Alligator mississippiensis: one gene and its partner. The protein of the gene in region 1 binds, or shares a complex with, the protein of each later gene. Links are inferred from orthologs where the notes say so. Each region holds a gene or a part of one and is shown on either strand. Other genes may lie near its edges.

Region 1 (7,294 bases):
GGGGTGGCTCCCACTCTGCATACACTCCAGAAGGGCATGGGAGGAGTGTCCCCGGATCTGCGTGGGGCTATTGGGGGGGGGGCGCTGCAGCCACCCCAAGGTTTCTCATAGCCTCCTCCCAATCTCCCTCCAGCACCACCACCGCCTGCCCCAAGAGCAGTCTGGCCCAGCCCCCTCTGCCCCCAGCCCACAGCTGCAGCCTGGCCCACCAGACAGATCTGGGAACACATGCTCCCCATGCCCTCCTGGGGTGCGCGCAGTGGCAAAAGCCATCCCCCCTGCACGAGCTGCTCATGGCTCCGTCCCATGCCCCGCCCTGGCTGAACAGCGCCTGCCCTTGCCCCACTCCCTCTCACCGCAGGGGCACCCCCCCATGCTCCTTCCCTCCCCCCACCTGACTTACCAGCCTGCTGCTGGTCTCCAAGCTGCTGGGATGCTTGTTGGAATCAGATCGGTATCAGCTGATATGGCTCCTTAAAAATTGGCCTTTGCTATCACCCCAAAAAACCTCTATCGGTGCACCCCTAATGAAGATAGTACAGAGACCGTTCACTTTGGTTTTCTTAATGTCTTCATTACAAGCAGCACCTAACCCAAGCTATGGGCAACTCTGACACAGCCGTACACTTCGTACACAAGGTCCGGCAGTTAGCGCAGACAATGGTGGGGCAGAGGGGAGGCAGGAGGGGCGAATGCCCCAGGCTGTGCAATATGCTCCCCAACCTGACACACCCTAGTAGCAAGGTGCTGCACTCACCTGGCACCTCCCTATTGCAAGATGCTTCTCTCCACCCCACCCAGAGGCCCCACCTCTGTAAAAGCCAAAGTATGCCCCTATCGAATGCTTCCCTGGCTGCAACCTGAACAGCAAAAGTAGTGCTGGAGCCCACAACTAGCAAGCACCAATTACCCTAATCAAGGTTAGAGCAGGACCTACTTGCACCCGTGTCCGGGCGAACCAGAAAGGAGGAACACACTTCTTTCATCATCTAGTCACCAATAATAAGACTGTCTACAGCAATCTCTCAGTAACCTAAATTCAGTGTTTAATTCTAGGTATTAAGTTACCAATGTTCGTTCACCGACGTGCACAAAACAAAGCGGCCTCAACTTCAAATACAGAACGTCCCCTCCTACGGCTTGGAAATCTGCGACAATTCACACTCAAACGCAGGAAACAGCGAAATCAGCTCCGAGAACCACCTCAAGTCACTACGTCGCATCTCATCACCTAATCCTACGTAGCACTGAAGGGCTGTCTGGTTTCCCGGGGAAGGGCGGTCTTAGGGCTAAAAGACAACTGCAAGGGCAGGGACCGTTCCTAGCCAGCAGACGGTGGCTCCAGATAGTCCCTTCTCAGCGCCAAGCCCAGTTGCTTATATCTCCCTTTGGCCGTCACCCCCGTCTCATCGCTTCTCTAGGCCAAAGTCCCGTCCAACAGGATGTGACACGCTCTTCAGCGGGGAGCACGAGATTAACACCAGCTGGGAAACCATAAAGCAACTCGCTATGGGGAGACCCACAAAAAACTGAGAACAGACAGTGTTTCTCTGTACTCTAGAAAACGAGACACCTTCAGAGACGTGAGCACCCGGGCGCTGGCTCCGAAGCAGGAAGGTAGAAATAGGAGAGAAAAAAGAAAGTTCACGGACATCTGCCCCCCAGAATATCCTTGCGCAGTTTTGCTCGACATCTCATGTGCAAGCGTCCAAAGCACTAAAGATGGCAAGAGGAGTAGGGCTCCCTTCTAGTCCAAACCCCTGCCTGAGGCAGGGTCGCCCCTGTCCAAACCTGCCCGGACGGTCCAGCATCGACAGACGCGCGGGACAGCAGAGCGAGCCCAGCCCCGCCGCACCGCGCCGCACTGTCGTCCACGAGCCGTGCAGTTCGGAGCGGTAGCGAACAGGACGCACGATCGCCCTGGGGCGGGGGCAGATCTCGCACCCGGTCCCGCTGCTTGGAAACCGGCCTGTGAGCGCCGACTTCTGGTCTCACGCACACCCCTAAACACACACACACACACACACACTACACCCCCCCAATACACCTACACACACACGTATGCAACTACACCCCTAGACACGCCTATACACACACACGTATGCAACTATACTCACACACCTGCACCCCTAAACACGCCTATACACACACGTTTGCAACTACTCACACATATGCACCTACACCCCTAGACGCGCCTATACACACACGTATGCAACTATACTCACACACCTGCACCCCTAAACACGCCTATACACACACGTTTGCAACTACTCACACATATGCACCTACACCCCTAGACATGCCTATACACACACGTTTGCAACTATACTCACACACCTGCACCCCTAGACACACCTATACACACACGTATGCAACTATACTCACACACCTGCACCCCTAGACACGCCTATACACACATGTATGCAACTACTCACACATATGCACCTACACCCCTAGACACGCCTATACACACACGTATGCAACTATACTCACACGTATGCACACCTCCACCCCTAGACACGCACTACACACACACACGTATGCACACCTCCACCCCTAGACACGCACTACACACACACGTATGCACACCTATACGCACACACACGGCCCGAGCGCAGCCCGGCCCCCCCCCGGGGCAGGCGGCCCCACGGGAGAGGACAGGACGGGCCGGGCCGGGCCGGGCCGCGCTCGAGGACACGCGTGCCCGCCCCCCCCGCGCGCACCTTCACGTCGTCCTCCTCATCCTCGCCGGCCCAGCGGTCGACGCCCACGCCCGGCACCAGCGGTTTGGCGGCCGGATCCGCCGCCTCGAAAGTGTCGGCGTCTGTGAGGGGAGAGAGCGGGTGAGCGGGGGCAGAAGGAGGGGGGCGGGGGGCGGCGGCGGGAGCAGCACCTACCCCACGAGTCCGCCTCGGCCGCCATCTTGCCTCGCGGACGGGGGGGGGAAGGGAGGAAGAAGGGAGCGCCGCGCCGGGCCGTGACTCGCCGCGCGCCGCGCGGGGCATGCCGGGATAGCGGCGGAATGGCCGCCGGGGGGGCGGGGCTAGCGGGGGGCGGGGCGGTCTCGTCTCTAGGGCCCTCCCCCTCTGCGGGGCTGAGGCGGCCTCCCGTGAGGGGGTCCCTGAGGCTTGCCCCCCCTCTCCCCCCACTGAGGGGGGTTTGTCGGGCTGGGCCCCCCCCTCAAAAGGGGTCTCTGAGGCTCCCCCCCCCACTGAGGGGGCCTGTGGGTCTGGGGCAGCTCGTAGCCATGAGCGAGCTGAGCCCCTCAAGTTTTTAGATTTAAAAAAAAAGTAACCCCAAATCCACGTTTCCTGTGCTTTAAAATGAAGCGCCACTAATATAGAGATGCCTATATAGCAGCGTTTCATTTTAAGCGTGGATTTTGGGGGGGTTAGTTGGGTTTTTTTAGCCCCCAAAATTGGGATTTTTTTATTGGCGGGGTCCCGGTTTCCTGGCGGTTACGCGGGGTGGGGCGGGCACCCCGGGGCCTTCCCTCGGTTTGGAGTTTGCCACCTTTGTTGAACGTCCCCGTGGGAGGCGCAGGCAGTCCCCACAGGACAGCTGTCCTTGCCCTTGCCAGGCCAGGCCAGGCCGGGCCCGGCTGGGGGTGATGCCGGTGGAGCCATGGAGAGGGTTCAGGACGGGACGGGAGCGGCGCATCGGGAGAAGAGAGGACAGGGCACCCTGCCGGAGAGGTTGCACCCCAATTTGCCGAATCCTGCGCTTGCTTCCCAGGTCTTCCGAAGGTTCACGTCACGTCTTCCAGGTAGGGAATCAGTTGGCCTGAGAGCGCTGAAATGGGGTCGGCTCGCCTGTTTCGGGCAGCCGGGCCAGCAACCCTTGTTCGTGGTGTGGAGTCTCGACCGGCCCTCTCCAAGCATCCTGTTATTTTCAGTCCTTCGTCTCCGGGTGCAGGCTGGGGTCCACGGCTGGGAGCTCCGTCATAATTGGGGTCTCCCTCCCCTTTTCCGGGGGCGATGGGTGGGAGAAGCAGTTCTTTCGTGACGGCGGAGGGGGGCTTGCCGAGACTAAAATAAAAGACGCGGTGTTCAACCATGAATCTCCTGCCTAACGTGACCAAAAGGTTCAGCGTGGACGCGGCGTTCTGCTTTGCCCCGGGAGAAGCTGCTGTGGTCGCAGTCTAACGAGGAGCTTTAGCTACGACGTGGCTTCGTTCACCTGCACCTGCACCTGCCTGCACCTTTCCAGCGGTGCTGTACTGACCGGGGTGCGTGAGCTAACACCGTGAAAACACACTGTTTTTACCCGCGTGTCCTTTGCACGTGCACCTTTACAGCAAGGGGGTAAACCGGGGGGTAAACAGGTGCATTCATGTTAGGCGCCTTGCAGTGTTTTAACTTCGCAGGCCTGGTTTAAGTGACATATTTTGCGTGGACAATACTGTTGGTCATTCTCACGTGTGTTCAGAGAGAGAGGCAAGGCTCTGATCATCTAACATTTGAAAACTATAACTCCCTTGGTCAGTAATATGTGGTGTATATATGAATAATAAACTTCTTAATGAAGACAAGATCTCTGAGTCTGTGCTGGTTCCTCCTGTCCTCTGGAAAAGACAGAGGCAAAGCTCAAGTACCTTAATATAATAAATACATAAATGAACTTCTAGGAAGTAAAACAGTAAAGTGCTAGTCAGCCACTTCACTCTTACCCTTGCTCTCTCATATGCAAGTCTCCTTGACTGTAAATATGTTGGCAGTATAAGCCTGCAATTATAATGGTAAAGAGATGCAAATGTCATTCAGGGCACCAACACACAATGTTTTATTGCGGTTGAATATGCCGGATTATCTCAATCTAGAGGAAATGAACACAGAATCAAAGGAAGAAGTGCTAGATATGGGATGTAGTAGGATAAAAGGTACCAATTATAATTTAAACAAATATAGCCATTAAATGCATGAAAAGAATAGGCAAGTGATCAGATTTAAATTCATACTGGCAAATTCACCCATAGTGCAAGCAGCTGTATCTTGTGTCATCTTTCCCAGGAGTCCCACCAATTTATGGCACATTAGATTGAAACTTGTTCCCTTGTCACTATTGTCCTTTCTCCTCTTTTCCTAGGAAAGAAACATGGAAACACAAACCATACCCATTTTGAATGTGCTTTTTCACTGAGCACATTAACAGTGTTCAAACAGGGCAAGATGTTGAGAAGAGCCAACGGCATTGATGGTGACTTAAACTGTTTGTATTTGTACCAGCTTGTGCTGTCATCTAGTCAGTTCCTTTAACTAAGCAGGGCTGAGCTGGATTATTGCTGATACTTAGGTGGAAGACAGCCAGTGAATACATGGGTACTGTGGGAAGTTGTGTTGGTTATTCAGTAGCCGTTACTTTTCCTAAACCAGGGGTAAGCAACTTTCTGGCTCACTGTGGGGCGGAACAACACACCCCATGTCAGGTGCTTGGGCAGGTGCTAGGACCGGCTACCACCGCTTGTCCTTCTTGTGTGGCAGTACATGGGGAGCACTTGCAGGCAGAGCCTCGCACTGCTGAATGCCACCAAAGCCCCACATCCGTGGGCTGGATCCAGTGGTTTTGTGGGGTTGCCAACCCCTGTCCTAGACCATGAGTTCAATGCTGACTCATAGCACTACTGTGCTTCTGTAGGCGCTGTCATTTGTGTGACATGGTATTTAAAGTGACATAGTGTAGGACTTGAGGCAAGGTCTCCTGTCTTGACTGACTTCAAACAGTGGGGTATCTGCCTTCCTAAATTCCTGAAATGAGTTTCAGTTGTCTCTTGTAGTTCAGAGTTTTATTATTTTCCATTTTAAATTGATGGCAGCATGTTGATGTATGTTGTTAAACAGTTGTTGCAGTGACCTAAAGTTGGTTGGACCTAAAGCTAGCCTGCTGAGCCCTAGCAAAATATCAGGAAACTTATAAATGTAAGATGATATTTAATAATCAAGAGTATCATAAATAATTGCTTAGCTGTGTTAGTCTGAAGTCAGGCAGAAGGCAGGGGAGGCTGGCACCTTACAGACTAGCTGGTTCAGAGAAGCATGTGGTTTCACAAGCATTAGATGCTTGTGCCTAATAATTGGTAAGGGGTGTGTAAAGTGATTTTTTTTCTCAATAACTTTTTAAATTTTCTAAGTATGTAAATTTAGTTTTAAACACATTGACCTTGAATTCTGGTTTAAATTATGCTAGGAGTCATTATGGGGTTTTGTTTTGTTTTTGTTTTGTTTTTTACTCAATTGAGTAAATATTGAATTATGGCTAAATATGAGTTAAGCCAATTAGCAAGCAAAGCATCCTTTAATAGTAGCAAAAAATGAACTATATTCTTTACCAAGTCCTAGAAATAGTATATAGAAGCATCTGGATATCCATTAAAAAAGATATCTGCAATTACAGTTTGGCAGCATATACTGCCAGATTTTTTTTTGATTTGAAAGTTAAAGTTGTTGAAAGGAAAAGTACCTCTCAGGGTCATGGAGGGATTTCATATTTGTAATGTCCTCTGAAATTTTGAACATCATGTCAAGGGAATTGTAGTTATACTATTTTGTTGTATTGTCTTTTTCTGTTTTTATAAGTTATTTTGTTTTCTACCATAAGCTGCCCTGAGCCTTTTAAAATAGAAGTACCAAATATTATCCTTAGTAGTTGGGATGGAGAGGTATGTCCTAAAATAAAATAATAGTCTACTCCACTTACCTATGCAGATAAGCATATCCAATCAATGTATACGCATAAGTGCACCATTCACTTAACTGCATAACATAATGGCAACCCCAATTTGTTGCCTGTTGCTCATGTTCTAACAAATATCTTTCATCTACATCTTGGTTAAGTGCATAAACCAGTTAAGTGCATAGCATCTTTCATCCCTGCTAACTACTTTGTAACTCAGTTAATCACATACCAACTTGTCAGTGTATATTTTGTAACCGATTTTACCACCTGAAGAGTGCCTGAAGCAGTGTAGGGAAAGCAGTGGTCAAAGGGCTGCTAGCAGAAGTCGGTGTTGAGACTGCACTTAAACAGAGTACGCTGAGCGTTCAGAGAAAAAGTTTCTCCAGAGCACTGTGCTGTTGCATAGCTTCAAAATTTGAATTTGGTCCAGAATTTGGACTTTTTTTTCCAGCTGCTCACTTAGTCCCCCAAAGCTTAGAAGACTTTCTACCCAGTCTTTTGGTTTGCCCTATTGTGTAGCAGAATTAAGGACCAGCTGCAAAATAGACTCTCTCAAAGTTTTGTGGTGGCCAAATGCATGGTTCTGGCTGAGGAATATTGCTGTTTTTGTGTTTAAAAGTGT
Region 2 (7,863 bases), on another chromosome or scaffold:
CCCAGCCCCGCTGCCAGCCTGGGCTCTGCGCCGGCTCTGGACTTGCCTGTTGGCAGCTGCAGCCTCCCTGCTGGCCACGCCAGGCAGTGTTGGCTGCTATTGCCCGCCTGGGCACACACTGAGCAGCCCACAGGCGGCGGTGGCAAACACTGGCTGGCGTGGCAAGCAGGGGGGGCCACAGCTGACATCACCACACGTAGCCCCGATGGGTGAGCCCAGAGCCGGCGTGGGACCCAGGCTGGCAGTGGGGCTGGATTACAAGGAGGTGCTGAGCGTGAAGGGAAGCAGCCCCTTACCCACCCTGTAGCTGGCGCTCGCAGCCTGCGGGGCTGTCCGGGGCAGGCACAGGCAGCCCCAAGCGGGCTGGGAGTAGCTGCAGCGCAGGGCACCAGCCATGGGGTGGAGGAGGAGCCACTCATTTCCCTCCTCCCCAGCACAGCTTTTCCCCAGGCTCCTTGCCTGCCCCCCCCTCCCCTCCCTTACCTGAGATTCCAGCACCACGGGGGCAACCATGTGGTCCCAGGCCAGAAGCCCCAACTGGGGCTTCCAGCTCAGGGGGTGGGGCTGAGCTGACCCTGCTGTTGTGAGAGCCCACCAGGCTTCCCCTGGGTCCTACTGCACTTGGTTCCTGTCATTTTTGGCAAGAACCAAGGGCAGATAAATATTAATTTTCTAAATTTTTTAGGGGCCCCACGGGCCGGATAGAATGGCCTCACAGGCTGCATCCGGCTCACGGGCCATATTTTGCCCACCCCTATCCTAAACACAGACCCCTAAACACACACCCATCCTTTCTTACACAGACAACAATGTCAAAGATGTACTTCATTCTCTCCCTTCAGCAGGCTTAGGCAAGAGGTCTAAGAACTTTCCACCATGGGGAAAGGAAAGTTTTATTACCATTCATATACAGCCAGAAAACCAACTTCTTCAAAACACTACAATAGTAATTAGAATACTATACCAACTACATTTCCTGAAAAAGTAACTGAAAAAAAGTTATTTCACACTCAAAATTTAATACATGTTAACAATATTTGCTTTTAAGCTAACAGCTAGCACTTCTGCAACCAGCTAACCAGCAAATTGGCTTTTGTTTCAAGAAGTTTAATAGGTTTGTGCAGCAGCTATGCTACACTGAATGCAGATTTTTGTCTGAAGCTTTAAGCTAAGGAGTCCTGAACTTGACTAGTATTGGGATGGGTGACCACTTTGGAACCCCAGATACCAGAGACACAAGCAAGAGAGTACAGGATGACCACTTACCACCCCAAGATGATTTCACTGGGAGAAACCTTCTTGTGCAGCTCGTACATATTCTTGGCAAACTCCATATCAACTGCAACCTAAAAAAGAGCAAAAAGCATGAAGCTGCCAGCTGCAGGAGCACTTCCATTTGAGCAAAGAGCAACGAAGGCAGCTTAATGGAGGTGGAAGGGATGACGATAACAGCCACACCTCACAGAAGAGTCCCATCTCTTGGTATTTACCAGACCAGACCTAGTAGAGCAAATACTGTGGTGCAGTGATCAAACTAAGGGACAGACTTGCCACCAGGGCCTGTTAATGCAACTCTACATCACCACTGGGCACTCCCCAGCCTGCTCAGGAGTCCAAATGCTCCAGGTGCATGCACAGATGGGGGACAGGGCAGAGTCAGGACCCCCACAACAGAGAGAACAGCATGTTCCAAAGTAGCACTCCCAGCAGAGATACACCAGTACACTGGTCCATATTGTAGTTTGGCTGGTAAGTTGCTGGGGGGAGGAGGTGGGTGCATGCGCAAATCAAGGCCCCTGCGGTGAGGTGGGGAGTGGGGCTGGGGCAGGCACTACCCAGAACAGGCAGGGTGCGGGACAGAGCTGCAAACGGCTCTTCCAAGGAAGGTGGGGAGCGGCTCATCACAGTGCGCACCCCTGGGGGGAGGCATGGGGACATGAGCCCCCCTTATTTGTGCACAGGGTGAGTGGGCTGCTGCTGCAGGCTGGACCCAGGGGTGGTGCTGGATTCTTCCCGGTGGGGGTTGGGGAGTTATGGGGTAGCTATGGCAAATTCCAGCGTGGTCACAACCCACCCCAAACTCCCTCTCCCAGTGCTGTGGTCACCCACCCCACCCCTGCCTGCCCCAAGAGCAGCTCCAGCCCAACTCCCTGTGTTGGGAAGAGCCCAGCACTGCCCCTGGCCCCAGCCTGTGCTCACCTCGCACCCCCTGGCTCTGTCCTGCACTCCACCTTGGCTGGGCAGTGCCTGCCCCAGCCTCAGCCCCACTCCCTCCCTTACCGTGGGGGGCCTTGATCTGCACCCCCCCCATGCCCCTTCCCCCCAACAGACTTACCAGCCAGACACTGCTCTCCAGGCTACCAGAGAGCATACCAGCAATTGGATCGGTAGCAGCGATACAGCTTGTTAACAATCAGCCATCTGTATTAGCCCATAAAGCCCCTAGGTGCCAGCTGCCTTCCCCTACTCCCAGCCACGGCAACCAAGTACTTTGCACCAGGGGTAACTAGCACCTTCTCCAGAGCTCTCCGGGGTGTCCTGGGGCACCTCTGCTCCCGGCCCTGTCCCACCACAGCTCTGCGGCAGGGCTGGGGGCTCATGCAGCTGAGCTGGACCAGGGAGCCGGGAGCTGGAGTCCTGGACCCAGACCTACCTCATCCTCGGACTCGTTGTGGGGGACGGAGAAGCAGTTGGTGACCTCCACGGAGTGTTTGTCCACCATGCCTGCAAGGCAGAGAGCGGGGTGAGGGGGGCGGGGCGGAGCGGGGCAGGCCCCCGGCGGGGGCGAGGACGCGGGGCCGGGCCGGCGGGCTCTTACCCAGCAGGGTGCCGATGACCCGGGCCGCGCCCTCGTTGCGCCGCTCGAAGCTGTCCACGATGGAGGCGAGCACGACTGGGTGCAGCCGGACCACGCGGCCGCCGGGGAAGGGGCCGCCCAGCACCGCTGACAGCGGGGGCGGGGGCGGAGCGGGCGGCACGGCTACCGGGGCCGCCGCCGTCGGGGCGGCGCCTCCTGCTGGCGTCGCTACTGCCGGGGCGGGCGCCGGGGCTGATGGGACGGGCGCCGGGGCCGCGGCCGGGACAGGCGCTAGCGCCGTAGCCGGATCTGCCGCCGGAGCTACCGCCGCCATTTTGCAGAGAGGGGTGGGCAGTACCGCGCCGGCGATAACGGGCTCAATCAGACGCCCGTCATTCTATGGTGACTTCTCATTGGGCAGGAGGAGGACGAGTTCCCGCCTACCCCAGCCGCAAACCAACCTCAGGACGGCAGAGGAGGCACGAGACCGTGGATTGGGTCGGTCTGCCACGCTTGTGCCCGCCTTCTCGGCGTCCTAAGCTTTTCGATTGGCTGGTGACTAAACCTATCGCTCGCCCGGCTGTGTCAATGCTCGCTCATTGGCTGCCCGCGGGTTGAGCCGGTGGGGCCTGGGCGCCCGGTGGTTCCAGGGACATACGGCAGGGAAGCTTCGGCCGTCTGCGCAGGCGCGCTAGGCCACGCCTCGGGGGAGCCTGTCACTTGCAGTCCCGGCATCTCCCGGGGAGCAGCAGAGCGAGCCGGTTTCCCGCGCCCCGGCCACTGACCCTGTCACCCACGTAGCCTTTCTTCCTTGCTGCTTGGACAGAGCGGCTCGTAAGCAGCGCCGTTCCGCCCTGTCAGCGAAAGTACTGGGAAGGCTACCTGGCACTAGCAGAGGTACCTTTCCTGAGCGTTGAGCGTGCCCCGTCTGTGCAGCGAGTCAAGGCTCACATACCTCGTGGATGGGGTACGAGTGCAGGTGAAATCTTCTCCTGCCCAAAGACTAAATGGAAACCACTTCTTAGTCACAACTCTGCACCTCCATGGTAACTAACACCAGGCCGTATGAGCGCTTCATGCTCCAAGCTCTGGTGTCCAGCCTCTGATTTTGATAGCGACCCCATTGACCTTTCTATCTTTGTTCTTACATACTTTCTCTTCAACATCTGCTTTCACCATAAGTTATTACACAGACTGCTGTGCTAACTTGCAGTTGGAGTATCATCGCTATATGGTGTTACCTCCCTGTACCATGAACTTATTTCTGGGAGCAAAATCTCCCTATGCTGCATTAGGGTAAAAAAGTACCTTTCATTGCATTGGAAGTAAAATAAATCCCCTTATTTGGATCAATATCCTTACTGGGAATAGTTTTTTTCCTCCAAGGGAGGGAGATGTGGGGGTTAATTGCACAGGACTGTTAATTCCTTCCCCTGCTGCCACTGGTGGGGAGGGGTTTGTTTTGGGGGAGGGGGGGGAAGGGCACGAGTGGGGAGCTGCTGTTTGCTCTGTTACCAGTGGTGAGCAACAATTGCCCACAGCCATCGTCTACACTGGCTGCAGCAGCGAGTGGTGACCTCCTACAGCCACCATGTCAGCAGCGAGGGGAGGGGCAGTAATGACCTACAGAAGCCTGTGGCAGCTTTGGCAGTGGCCAGTCTCAGGGGGCATGTGCCCCCCTGTGTCCCATTTTCTTGAATGTGGTGGGATGAAACAACTATCTTTCCAAGTAGCACAAAACTGACAAGATTCATTTTTTTGCTTTGTTTCATGGTCAGCCATCAATGCTTCTGCTGACTCCTGACTTTCATTCAAGTCAGTCAGCCTACACAGCTAGCCATGGTTAAATCTGGAACGCTATCCAAATGTACATGCAGGGGCTTCTATTGTTTTGCACAAATTAGAGTGAGTTTACACCTTATAGACCAAGTCAGAGGTGCATAACATAAGCTTTCATAAACAGAAGTTCATTTCAAAAGCCATTGCTTATGCTATACATCCCTGATGTAGTTAGTCTATATAGTTCTAATCTACCCTGCCTTTTGCCTGACTCCAGCCTAAATATGGCTAACTACTTTTCTTTCCTATTGTTTTGGCCATTCTAAGCAAAGGGGCTATGATAAGACTAGACCTTCCAGATAGTAGTAACACCCAGCAGTTGACAAGCCTGGCCCTCTTCCACTTATTCTAGTCTTGGTTTCTCAACAGTAGCTGTACAGCTGGGACTAAGCCTGACAGTGCAGGTTCTAGACTTCTCCCAGCCTTCTGGCCTCACTGGTTAAGTTTTTTTATGACCTTTTTGCATGTAGGGGGTTAAACTCACAGGGTGCTTTACGGCACCTACAGTGTGGCCTCCTCTTTTTACAGCTGCTCTTGGTCATCCAGTGTTTGCTAGCTTAAATCCAACAAAACCCATCGCTCCTTCAGGTATTCACAACCAAAATGCACGTGAACTTAAATCCTTATCCTTCCTTGGTCCACTTGGGGGAAAAATATTGAAGAGGAAAAAAACCAAAACAAAGAAAACCTCTTAACCCTTACCCATCAAGGCCCCTTTTACTGTACCTCCAGGTACCACCATAGTCTATTTAGAAGCTTCACTTATTTCCCAGCCAGGATCAGAGTACCCTCTCTAGTCTGAGGACAAGCCTTTTATTCTCCTCCAAGCTTCTCCCTTTCCAGCCAGCCAGACCCATCATCCAGTCTGAGCACAGGGGTTGCTGATTAGTCTCTGCAGCCCTGCCAGCTGCCTGCCTTTTGGCTACAATCCCTTCTTAATTCAGCCCCTGCTCAGGCCAGGTTTAATGGTGATTGCAGGGACCTTGCTTCTTCTCTTTTTTGCTGCTTGCCATCTGGAGTTTTTCTTTGCTGGTCCTTGCAGCTCTTTTCCACCCTTGAGTCTTCATCCCTCTGAATCACAAAAATCCTGTTTTTTGAGGGCCCTTGCCAGTTCTGTTTGCTCCCCAGCTTTCTCATAGTAACAGGGCAAGTGTAATTCTCTCTTACAAGGAAGGGTGCCAGAACTGGGTTTTCAAGGGTGCTATGAGGTGTGAGGAGATAAGCAAGTGTGAAGAGAACAAGTGCACACCCATGCTCATCTCTCCCTGGCCACTTTCCTACCTCCATTCCTCAACCTGCACTATAATAAATAAATTAGTTTTTGAAATGCAATTCACAAAAGTTATGGAGGGTTGCCTCGAGTCAAAGGGGGGGTGACTTGAGTTTAAAAGATTGAAAACTGCTGATCTAGGGTGTGTATCAGCCAAGATTGAAATAACCCATTAATCAACCACACATTTGCCTGAAGCCACTCAACCTCCAGCATAACATTGACTCATTGACTCAAACCAAGGTTAACAAGAAAAAATTAAGCCTTTCCCTGTTTTTGCATGGAACTTTATTGGTCTATTTTAATAATCAACATAGAATAGTACCAACATTCTGCATGGGGATGCTGGACTAATACTACTGTAAAATTCCATTTGTCTCTAAAAACTGAGGTGTTGTATTAATTCCACACCAAATTGACATAAAAATCTATTTTTCCTCAACTTAGGTTAGGTTATGAGGACATAAACACATTTCTGTGAGGTAAGCTAGGGTTAGCTTCCTTGCATTTACCACATAAGAGCGTTCACATTGAGAGTTATTTCAGAATAGTTCACATGCTGCAGGTTCACAGACCAGCTTACCTTGGGGCCTTTGTGTGTCCCTTACCCTTAGAGTTGAATGAGACATTATTAGGTGCTCAAAAAGAGCATGCAAAGGAGTACATATGCTCATTAGTTACTATTTAAATCTAAGCTAAAATAAGAGAGTGGTTTTGAAGGAGAGCTTGTATTAAAAAAAAAGAGAGAGAAATGTATTAATGCTATCACAGTGGGGGAGACAGATACATTTGTCTCGGACAGCTGGAGCCGACCCGAGGTGATTTAGAAATTGCTCGTTCGTCAGGGCGGGCTGGTGAATGGAGAGGCAGACGAGGTTTAATGGTAGCAAAAACCTTCGCTGTGCAAGAGGCTCTCATGTGACAAGAAAATTCCATAGTGCTGAGGCACCAAAATCACTGTGTTGTGACAACATTCACTGAAGTAGAAGAGACTGAATTCTACACATTTCTTTCACATTTACACATTTTAAACATTTCACAAAAAATGAAGCAGGAGGAGGAGTGATAACACACTGAAGAAATGATAGATTTTCAACATTAAAAAAAAACAAGAAGTGGTTCACAGTAATACCTAATCTGTACCTCACTTAGTGCTTTCTTAGCTGGGGACATAATTAGTTGTATTCAGTAATTCAGTGTATGGAATGCTTTTTTATTATGATCTCTGGCATCTTAAGCTTGTAAGTACAGGTTATTGAACTGGCACATGCTGAAAAATCTAACCTTTTAAAAAATATTAATTCCAGTAACAGTTACCTAACCAAATATTTTGGATCCTTCAAGTTTTTTAGAGGGTGTAGGTCTGGATGACTTTTTCATTGTTCAGTGGTATTTGTTTCAGGTCAGTCATAACTGTTAAAAAGTGTAATACTTAGCTGGAAAGGAGCCGCTAGATTCTCAAAAAATAACCCCCCAAAAACCATGGGAATCCACCTTACTAGTTTTTCTGGAAAATGCAGGACAACTCAGGGAATTCCCAGGGACAGTGCATTTTTATATTCAGTCTGAGCACATTCAGTTTTAGCATTGTCTGTGTTCAATGTCCATGTCTATGTTCAGATAGAGTGCTTTATCTCACGTTAAAGGAGTTCACTGCAACCTTAGCTTAGAATTTAATTTTAATAACCCAAAAGGATTAGAAGCATAACTTGAGAAATGGCATGAAAGAAGTAGAACTTAATTCTTCCTAGTAGTGCAAGCAGGTTAGATTAATTTAAACTGTACCTTCTACATTCCTCAAAAAAAAATTACAGTGGCACAGAGGAACAAAGAGCACATATAGCACTATTTGAGCACAATGGCACTAATTATCCAGACATATGTTTTCTGCCATAGAACACATTCCCATTGCTTTTTTATAGTGGCTCAGCCATTTATCTATACAACAATGTATGTC

Evidence for each region.
Region 2: EIF3J (region 1) and EIF3F share a complex: the UniProt entries of both Homo sapiens proteins name them as parts of the eukaryotic translation initiation factor 3 (eIF-3) complex. The link is inferred for Alligator mississippiensis from reciprocal best matches to the Homo sapiens genes EIF3J and EIF3F.

What each region holds. Positions count from the first base shown.
Region 1 is NC_081834.1:1,714,809-1,722,102, reverse strand, and holds the start of EIF3J (eukaryotic translation initiation factor 3 subunit J), read right to left. Parts: upstream 3,005-7,294; 5' UTR 2,923-3,004; coding exon 2,898-2,922; intron 2,825-2,897; coding exon 2,724-2,824; intron 1-2,723. UniProt on the Homo sapiens protein: Component of the eukaryotic translation initiation factor 3 (eIF-3) complex, which is required for several steps in the initiation of protein synthesis.
Region 2 is NC_081829.1:25,034,407-25,042,269, reverse strand, and holds the start of EIF3F (eukaryotic translation initiation factor 3 subunit F), read right to left. Parts: upstream 3,147-7,863; 5' UTR 3,132-3,146; coding exon 2,819-3,131; intron 2,725-2,818; coding exon 2,654-2,724; intron 1,347-2,653; coding exon 1,267-1,346; intron 1-1,266. UniProt on the Homo sapiens protein: Component of the eukaryotic translation initiation factor 3 (eIF-3) complex, which is required for several steps in the initiation of protein synthesis.